Regions from separate parts of the Mus musculus genome. Here all the other regions are reported to be linked to region 2. The links are microRNA targets in miRTarBase. Many come from high-throughput screens and were not tested one by one. Region 2 holds a microRNA gene; each other region holds the end of a gene's coding sequence. Distances are between the middles of the regions.
What was found. Region 2 holds the annotated microRNA mmu-miR-186-5p (CAAAGAAUUCUCCUUUUGGGCU, at 1,683-1,704, opposite strand). A microRNA usually pairs through its seed, bases 2 to 8, with sites in the 3' UTR of a target mRNA and lowers its output. Matches are read on the target gene's strand: a 7mer-m8 pairs with bases 2 to 8, a 7mer-A1 pairs with bases 2 to 7 and ends in A, and an 8mer does both.

Region 1 (3,133 bases), 53 Mb from region 2:
GCCTGGAAAAAAGGCCCAAAGATGAACTATATCTCACTTAAGGAGAACAAATACAGGGCCTGAGTTGAGTGGGAGGACATGTACCGGGCATTCAGGAACCTGATGGTTGAATCCCAGTCCTGAGGGAAACAGCCACATTTCCCTGTTACTACTCCTTACTCCTGTAGTGTGTTATGAGAAAAGGCCATCCTCACACACTTGGTAAAATATAAACTGAACACTGTAATACCAATACCACTCCAGCTGGCTCTATAGGCAAGAACAAAAATCAATCTAGCCAGATATATCTAGTCTCCACATTTGGGAGGGAGAGACAAGAGAGTTCAAGGCCAGTGGCTGCTAAAAATAAAAAAATTAAAATCAAGAGTAAAGATGTATAATACAACATATACTTAAATTGTTTGTCACTGACATTTGTATCTGAAATGTAGGATTGGTTTTGTTTTTCAGAAAAATGATGCCATAATTTCATGTTTTTAGTTGTGAACACAGAGAAGATTATTTTGTTAACTAAGCAGACACTAGTCCTATGGTCAAACGTGAAACCAAATTCTCTAGGGTAAGAATCTTCTGTTGTTATTTCAGGAGCAGAGGCAGGCTCTTCTCGTCTGTAAATGGGTTCCTAATCAGTTACTCAGGCCAGCCAGGGATCTGGAAGCGCAGGCAGGTCAACATCTCCCCAATTCTCAGGAGATCCAATGGACACCGCAGCAGAAGGGCCACAGCTGGAGCTTGGAGGCGATATCTTGGGTAAGGTGTTTCTAGAGGACCAGGTCAAGGCCTGCTCTCTACCCTGACTACCCTGGGCTCTCCGTGAGGGCACAGAACTCTGACCACAGACAAAGTGGGATGGCCAGCTATAAATGAGCTGCTGTATACCTCCATCCTGAGCCTCCTGTGAGCAGCAGCTTCCAGACAAAAGACAACTTTTCCAATTCGGATGTGAGTTTTTTGTTTACTGACAGTGTTTAGAAGCAGAACATTTTTTCCTCCCCTGAGCATGTCTTAGACCGTTAAGTCTTGTATTGGCAAGATAAATACAGCTCAAGTTAGATGGAGCAGCATCACCCTTGATCTAGCTAACAGTTCACAAAGGCAGCTCTTCACTCAAGTGGCACAATCCTCTTTGGTTCCTGGCGGGAACTGGAGAGCAGCTTAGAGCAGCTAATAAACAGTCTCTTTCTATCAGTAAGACTCAGACACACAGCCAGCACGAGCAGTGCCAAGGGAGCAGGCTCTTAATGCCTTGTCATACCAGTAAAAAACCTGGAATACAGCCTAAAAGAAGGCATACAGTCTAAACAGATGAGAGCACTATACATTTTAAATGTTCAAAGTGGAAATGAAGAAAACATGTTTAAATAAAAAGCGAAAGTTTCAAAAGCAAACAGTGCTGCTGTCTGAGGAAGAAAACTTAGGTTTGAAAAAAAAAGCATGGGAAAAAAATGTCAGAAATTCACCTGAACTTTCTGACAAAAAGCTAAGAAGCTGTGAGTTTGGAACTCTGTATATATACAGTTACTTATAAATAGACACCTTTAAAAGTTGAGAGCAGGAAGCTGGTATTATACTCATAGGACAGACTGAAAGCACATGACATTTCATTAGTGTTAACATTCTTTGTTTACATAAAGCTTTTTGCTATCAAAAATTCAGAAAGCTGTTTGGCTTAAATAATACTTGTATAAAGACAGAACCACACTAAATTGACAGAGTACAGGAACTTTTGTGTGATCTACTCCCAAGAGCACACTTCCCTTCTTAATATGCTACATTCGTGAAGGAGACTGAAAACAGAGTAAACATAAAAAAGGCCAATCTTTGGTTTCCTTGTCATCAAAGTATTTTGCTGAAATAAGTCATCTTCTGTGCTCACAGGGCTGTGGCAACACTGCTGGGCTCTGGAAGAGCAAGACAAGAGGATCACCTGGCACTTGTAAAGAGACAGTAAGTACAAGATGCACAGAACTTCAGGCATGAAGCAGGCAGTTAATTATACCAAGACTGAGTCTATGAGCACACAATCACTAAGTACCCTGCCTTTATACATACACGTGGTAACACACAATTCTAGAACTTTAAACAGAGTTTGCAGACCTCACTACACTAAGTTATATAAAATCTGTGATCTGGAGAAGCCGCTGCCCATACAGTAACCAGACAGACATTATATATAATTTGGGCATATCAAAAATATTTACACTGTATCCAACACACAAGGTCAATGAGTAGAAAAATTATTTATGAATGCACATATATTTACAATGACATCCCCAGTTATACAGACAAAACAAACCCACCACACACACACACACAAAGAATACAAAAGCCTTTGATCTGGTACTACCAGTTGGTGAAACTTAGATTCTAGCTAAAGACCTTGAATATCAAAGCCTCAGCAGCTCTTCTCTGCTCAACACCACTGGAGAATCCTTGTTATACTTAGGAAAGCTCAGAAGATATCTCTGCCCTGTGCTTTTCCAAGCAAAGTAGGATATCAAAGTAGAGACGCTTTCTCAGGACCATTCTGAGGACTGGAACAATCCAGTAGGCTAAGCAGCAATGACTCTTCATGACAGGCAGTGCATGCCTGGGCACATCCCGGTGGGGATCAGGAAGGACACCTGCCCATGTTGTCTTCTGCCAGGGCTGTGCACTTTCAACGTGGTACACATTTCTGTGGTACACTTCTGTCAGCCACTACCTTCTCTTTGCCAGGTGTAAGCCCAAACACCAGAGCTACGCTGATGTGGTCAGATGTAACTTGAAGCAAAGAGAAATACAAATACTGACTTTTCTTCTCAATTCTGAGGTAGTAAATAACTAACTTGAGTCTTTGCTCAGACTTCCTCCTCAACGGGCTTCATGTGCCCTCAGTACCATCTTGAATGATCCGAGTCCTACTAAAATCAAAAGCATGGTCATGTAACCTGCGGCAAGTCACAGGTGAAGAGCAATTTGGATCCCTCTCTGTCAGCTCTGGTGACTCAAGGACAGGCTGCTGGGAGAAGGGAAGTAGGCCCAGTTCTCTGTTCATGTTCCAAAGAGGCCGCTGAAATATTTCTGAGAATGAGAGTGAGACAAGAAATATCATCAGTGATAGCTGGAATTTCAACATTATTTTCCTAAAGCC
Region 2 (3,133 bases):
ACTCGCAGAAGAAGTAGAATGGCAACATAATGAATTTATCTCAAGTACAGAGTAATTTTCATATGAAGAAACAATGCACAGAAGGAAGACTGGGTACGATCTTGAAATTCGAATGTGGAGGACATGTAATTCTGACCCTACCCTCTAAACCCAGCCGTCACCAGATCTAATGAGCCTTCTTTTCTTTCACAAGTTGAGAGAATATGGAAAATTTGCTAAGACTACAAGTGAAGCCACAAATCATTATTATGACATTGAAAGCCAAGAGACAATTAGTGAAATCAAGTAATCAAGTCTGTTGCAGAAAAGGCTGACACATGTCAAGTGCACTCTAGATACAGGGACCCAGAGAAGGTCCTTTTCAAAAGAGGAAAATGGATCTGGACTGCAAGATGAAAAAAGTATTAACTCCAAGGGCGTGTAAAGGGCATAAAAGCTACGTGCTACAGAAATGCACTTGTAAAACTTAAACACATTTAAAGGAGGACAGATCCCCATGATTTTGCAAGTTCATCCTGACTAGGTACCCTAGGATCCCTACCATCTCTAACATTTAGTCTTAAAAAACAAACACATGTAAACCATTTCAACATATAGCTTTTGGGTTTAGATCTTTAAAAACACAAAAATAACCGAGAGTTGGCTATAATATACGTGGAAATAAAATTTGAACAGTAAAATGATTAGAGAATATTCTGTCCTGTAATTTTTTTCTAATAAGCAAGATAAACAAAGTAATCTGAATTTTGAAGTTTAAAGATAAAAAATTTAAAGAACAAAGGAGAAAGAAATCTAACCCTTGCCTACAAAGTCCACCTATGAAATACACATAAGAACACCCATTCTTATTCTACAGAAACCCAAACCTTTCGGGTGACCGTGATCTCGTTCGTCTTTTTTTGCGAACAGCTGGTGAAGAAGGTCTAGAGCGACTCCTCTTCCTGTCTCTTTCAGGAGATGACGAAGAACTCGAATAAGATCTTTTTCTTGGGGAAGAAGAGCCCCTGTGGGACCTGGAGCTGGATCTTCATTGATTGAGAGACAAAGCAGACGTTTCATTAAAGGCAGAAGTGAAGACTGTCCAGTTCCCAAAAGCAAACAGGATTGTGACTATGAGGACTTTAGGAGGGAATACTTACTGCTTACTCAGAAGGCTTCTGGGTCAACCATCAACAAGTTCTATTTACACACAATCATTTCCTCTTTAAACCATTCTAAATAGTTACCCTTGGTAATTAAGAAGTAGTTTACTGAATTAAGACAGAATATTTTTATAATTGCTTATAGTGTTCCAATTTAAAGTATACAAACAGTGAAATCAATTCTGTGGTGACTTTATAGTCAGAAAATAGATCCTCCCATTTGTCAGGAAAATTCACTTTTTATAAAGCTTGCTGAAGACAATGAACTTAACTTCTTACAGGTGCTACAGACACCTGAGGGACATGGCCCAGAAAAAGAACACTGAAGCTGTGAAGTAGTCAATGAAAATGGCAACTCTACAATGTGATTTGTATGAGAACTGTGCTATGAAGTATGAAGTAGTAACATTTACATGTTTTAAGTGGAAGTAAATGTGTAATTTAAAGAGCAAATTTATCTCTATTTACATATTTTTAGTTGAAGGCATTTAGCTCAAACTTCCCAAAAAATTCACCTTAGGGCTTAAAATAAAATGAGAAAGCCCAAAAGGAGAATTCTTTGGAAAGTTGTAAGCAATTAAATGTTTGGGAAGGATATGAAGGCTGTCCTGTAAACCTCAGTCCTACAGTTCCCAGAGGGCCACACCAAGACTCCACAGTCTGAAGTGAGCACGGATAGTTAATGCAATAAGAAAGAAACCTTTGCTCTACTCAGCGCTGGTCAGCAGAGCACTGGTCAGTGCTCCATTACCCCTCTCTCTCCTCAGGGGGACTCAATGGCAGCTGCCTTCAAATGTTAGAATGGGCTCAAGTAAGTGAGTCTTTCTACAGAAGAGTTGTTAGGAAACGTCAATGTAAAAGCCACAAGTGAGATTTTAGAGGCTTTCGTATAAATGCTGTATGCCTGCAGGACACAACAATACAGTGACTGAACATGAAGGCAGCATAGTGAGCAAGTACAAAAAAGTTTTTCAAGGAACCAAAAGCCTAATGCTTCTATTGCCTTTTTTTTTTTTAACCAATCATTTTCCTTTGAAATACTCACAGCATGGCTTATATCAAACCATACTTAAGCCAACATCCTACATGACTTGGTTTTAAGAGGGGTGTTTGTTATACAGGTAATTTATAATATTCTTTAATGTCAGGGAGATGTAGTAAATACATAGAGCACTCACTAGAAACTGAGAAAAACCAGGCAAAGCTATTGTAAACATTTGCCTGAAATATAAAATGTTTCGAAGCTAGATGATGGAATGGTTGGTCTTCCTCTCAGAAATAACTTCTCACTTGTATGTCAAATTTAAATTAACTGTAAACATAAACTTAATATACCAGGTGGAGTAACTTGCCTTCACCTTCCTACATCACACGTATCTTAGCTATATGTGCAAGCCCCACCCCCTTTAATCAACCGTGGGAATGTGTGGCACGCTGTGCGGTGGGAACACTGTGTGGTGAGATTAAGCTGAGGTAGGTGCGTTAGATTCCCAGGGCTACAACAGAACGGACAAACAGAAGCAGGGCAATGAGAGAAGCAGCGGAGCCGTCTGAAGCCTGTGAGCACTCTCCTCTGCTCTACAGAGGCGCTACCTCATTCACCTTGATTTCGAACCACGGGATCTGGAATGTTCTCTGGAACCGGAGTGAGACCTGGACTGCGAACTGGAAGAGCTTCTTGAACGGGACCTGGAACAACACGGAAGCATTTTTTTCCCCTAGGACCACATTTTTGAGGTTTGTGATATGAACACTGAAAGAAAGACATATATTAAGAGTGCATTTTTCACATAAAAAGATGTCTATGCAAGAGATGCATTTTCCAAGCAAAAATACTTAAAACAAAGCTTCTTACTGTAATAAAGACTAAGTTTACAAGGAAAAAAAAATTAAAAGTTTCAGTGACCACTTTCCAAGCCCAATTAAACTGCCAAAAGGGAAGTAACAAGCACCATAGCTCACTGCAGACAATGTCACCTCACAGCTCACTG
Region 3 (3,133 bases), not on the chromosome of region 2:
CTTACAGCTCTCACCAGCAGGTCCCTGACAAAAGACCCAGTGGTTCTCACTGCTAGAGTGCGGTCTTTGGGCTTGTGAGGAGCACAGCATCTCATCCCTGCTTTGCTTGCCAGAACCTACACTTCATTACGTCACTAGTCTCTTGATCCTGCTTCCCAGGCATGTCTCTGAGGTCCCTCATAAGGCCACCTGGGCCTCCCAACTGCTTGGAGCTTGTGGGGGACCTAAGGCAAACGAGTTCACAAATGACGTGTCTAGACAAGAAAAGAAGAAAAGATGTGCTACCAGTATGTGTTAGAAATCAAATCCGTTTTATTGAAACCATAGCAACAACCAGTGTGGCCCTGTTCATGCGAAGCACAAAAACTTACAATAAACTTTTGTACATAGGAAGTTGTAAAATATATCATTTTTCATAGAAAAAAAAAGCACACAGTAAACTGCGGGCTGAGAAAGCCTACAGATCATGGAGAATCGGCACACCCCTCTGAACAGACCGGGCACAGCTTGGAAGCAAATGGAAACTCTCACCCAACGCAGGACCAGGCCGGAGCTGGGGGGGTTGGGGGGATGTGCAGCTGGTGTGGGCGTGGTCACTTTAAGGAAGAGCTGATGGATGGACACACAGGGTCAGAAGGGCTCTGATGTAAGGTCTTGTCATTTGTGGTTTTGTTTCCTCCAGTTTCAAACTATTGATGAAGGTGATCGATCGAGGCTGCTAGGCCAGGCTCTGTGCCTGATGGAAGGGCAGCCAGGGAACTCAGAGAACCTCAGTACAGACTCACACAGCAAGTTCCCTGAAGATGGGATTGGCTGCTCATTCTAGAAACCCAGAAGGGGTATGGTTTTCCTTACCACGTCAGCCTTGCCCTGCTGGCTTGGTGAAGGGTCCTACGGCAGCACTCCTTGTATCGGGAAGTTTCCCAGATGTTTGGTAGCAACCAGAGGTCCCCTTCCACAGACTGCGCAGATGTCTGCTCCAACATCTGGAGTGGAAGAGTTTATGCCCTCAAAGACACCACACCCACACCCATGAGGCAGAAACAGCCTAGTGAAAGGCTGACTAGAGCTGGTTCAAGGCTGTGTGCTTTTTATAATCTCCCCAGAAGGGGTGGATTGGGGAAAAGCTATCTTAGCACTCAGGAGGCCAGCCTGGGCTACATAATGAGGTCAAGGCCAGCCTGGACTACCATAGTGAAACTGTCTCAAACAAATAAACATTTAACCCAACTAGGGGGAGAGATTTGTTCAGACTCCCTTAGGGTTTTTTTCTTTTCTTTTTTTTTTTTAAAGAACCATTTGTACTTTGCTCCTGTGAATGTGTGTGGTGCCTGTGGAGACCAGAGATCTCTTGAACGGCCTGTGAATAGTGAGAACTGAGCGCAGGTCCTCCGGTAGAGCAACAAGATCTGTTAACCACCAAGCCACCTCCCCAGCCTTTTGATTGGGGGGATGGTGTTCTGTTTTATTTTTTAACCCCCTTCCCTTTTTTTTTTTTTTTTTTTTTGGTCTAAGAAATATTTGGCTGGAGCACGCAACCCTGTTTGTGTTTGGCTAGCACTCACCGGCAATCTGCCCCATGCTCAGGACTGGGGTGGGATTCCACCTTCTCTAGAGTAAAGCTGTTTACAGAAGCATGCTTCATTTTACAGTGGGTTTGGACCAGGCTCCTAAGTGATGGGAGCCAGGGCTCACCACACTCTTGGAGCCTGGGGATGCTGGCAGGCACTGAGGGGTTCTTCCTGTGTGTCCCGGGCCCCTCTTTCTGGTGGCTGGTGTGTCATGGGTGGTTTTACAACCACAGGCCACTCCATTAACCCCCATGAGGAATGTGCCAGGAATCTACTCCTCCCACAGCTTAAAAACTAGGTCACCCAAACCAGGGGGAAGTGACGTTCAATTGTCACTCTTGACGGCGGCTGGGAGGCAGCCCTTATTCTAAGAAGTGAGAAGACATCTGAGACCTGGAGCCTCTTGCAAAGCCAAACCCCAGAGGAGGACACCTAGATCTGCTGAGGGTGGGGCAGATGCCACAGGGTCAGGGAATGGTAGGGAAGGCTCCTGATGTATTGGTCCTCCATGAGACCAAAGGTCATGTGAGAAAAGGCCACACAGACAAGGACAAAGACAAGATAAATCTCTGGAGTGCTACCAACTTTAAATAGACCAGCTCTGCTGGACTTATAAGCACGTGACTGCCAAAAAGGTTGGGGAATGTGAGCACGGATAGACACCACCAGGGCAGAGCCCAGGTCTTGCTCGGGGCTTCTCCCTGCAGCCCATCTGTCTGACCAGCAAACACAGACCCCATTTCTCTGTCGGTAGGACGGACTGTAACCTTATAGCTGTCGACTCTTGTCACCCAGACAAGAGCCCCATTCATGACATATCTCAAACCTGTATCCTCAGGGTTCGAAAGCCTTCCCCCTCCACCACCAAAGAAAACATGGCAAGGAGTGTCTCAGTGAGCAGCTCCTGAGAGGAGGTGAGCCACCAGATGGGGACCGCCACCTGGCCAGCCTGGGCACTGGTTGTCCAGCCAAGAGACTCCACGGCACGCTGCTCATGAGGGGGAAGGTGCTCGGTCACCCTCACCAAAGGCCATGGAGGCCCAGGACGTTCAATGACACCAAAAGGAAGATTCCTGACTCTCTGTCACCCCCCACCCCCAAAGGACAAAGTACAGATAAAAAGCAGGACCCCGAATCCCAGTAGATGACACCCCCTTCTCCCCAGGTCGCCAAATTCACTGCCTGACGGCGAAGATCCGGAAGGCGTTTCCGTTCTGAGGAGTGTTCAGGCTGCAAGAGAAGAGGGAGAAGGAAGTTAGAAGAGAAAGCTGTGGGCAAAGGAATGGCCGATAGGGCCAATGTGGTAAGGTCAGAGCCCACAGAAGTCACACCCAGCTGGACGAGCCCACATGTGCCGACAGGAAGCTGTGGTGTGAGCCCAGGCTGAGGTTGCGGAGCGACTCTCTGGGTTTTACTGACACCTGTCTCAGACATCTGGTTGACAGATGATTTAAGGGGTGGCTTGAAGGGAACACACACCCGAATGCTACCCAAATATGCCATCATGGGTCTGCTATCCTTTCCAGGCAGGGCTATTGTTACTGTCGGTACATACAGGGGAG

Region 1: the mRNA of Lrig2 is a reported target of mmu-miR-186-5p. Seed matches in the 3' UTR shown: 7mer-m8 at 2,316-2,322.
Region 3: the mRNA of Crispld2 is a reported target of mmu-miR-186-5p. Seed matches in the 3' UTR shown: 7mer-A1 at 1,289-1,295.

Annotation. Positions count from the first base shown.
Region 1 is chr3:104,454,902-104,458,034 of GRCm38, forward strand. Lrig2 (leucine-rich repeats and immunoglobulin-like domains 2) reads right to left here. Exons shown (of 18, transcript NM_001025067.2): 18 at 1-3,063. The coding sequence ends at 2,864. Among named protein-coding and RNA genes, the nearest start is that of Gm38412, 47 kb to the left of the region's middle.
Region 2 is chr3:157,542,856-157,545,988 of GRCm38, reverse strand. Mir186 (microRNA 186) reads right to left here and starts at 1,710; the gene lies at 1,640-1,710. It overlaps Zranb2 (zinc finger, RAN-binding domain containing 2), which reads right to left. Exons shown (of 10, transcript NM_017381.3): 8 at 2,745-2,831; 9 at 867-1,025.
Region 3 is chr8:120,049,951-120,053,083 of GRCm38, reverse strand. Crispld2 (cysteine-rich secretory protein LCCL domain containing 2) reads right to left here. Exons shown (of 15, transcript NM_001310635.1): 15 at 290-2,801. The coding sequence ends at 2,747. Among named protein-coding and RNA genes, the nearest start is that of Zdhhc7, 50 kb to the left of the region's middle.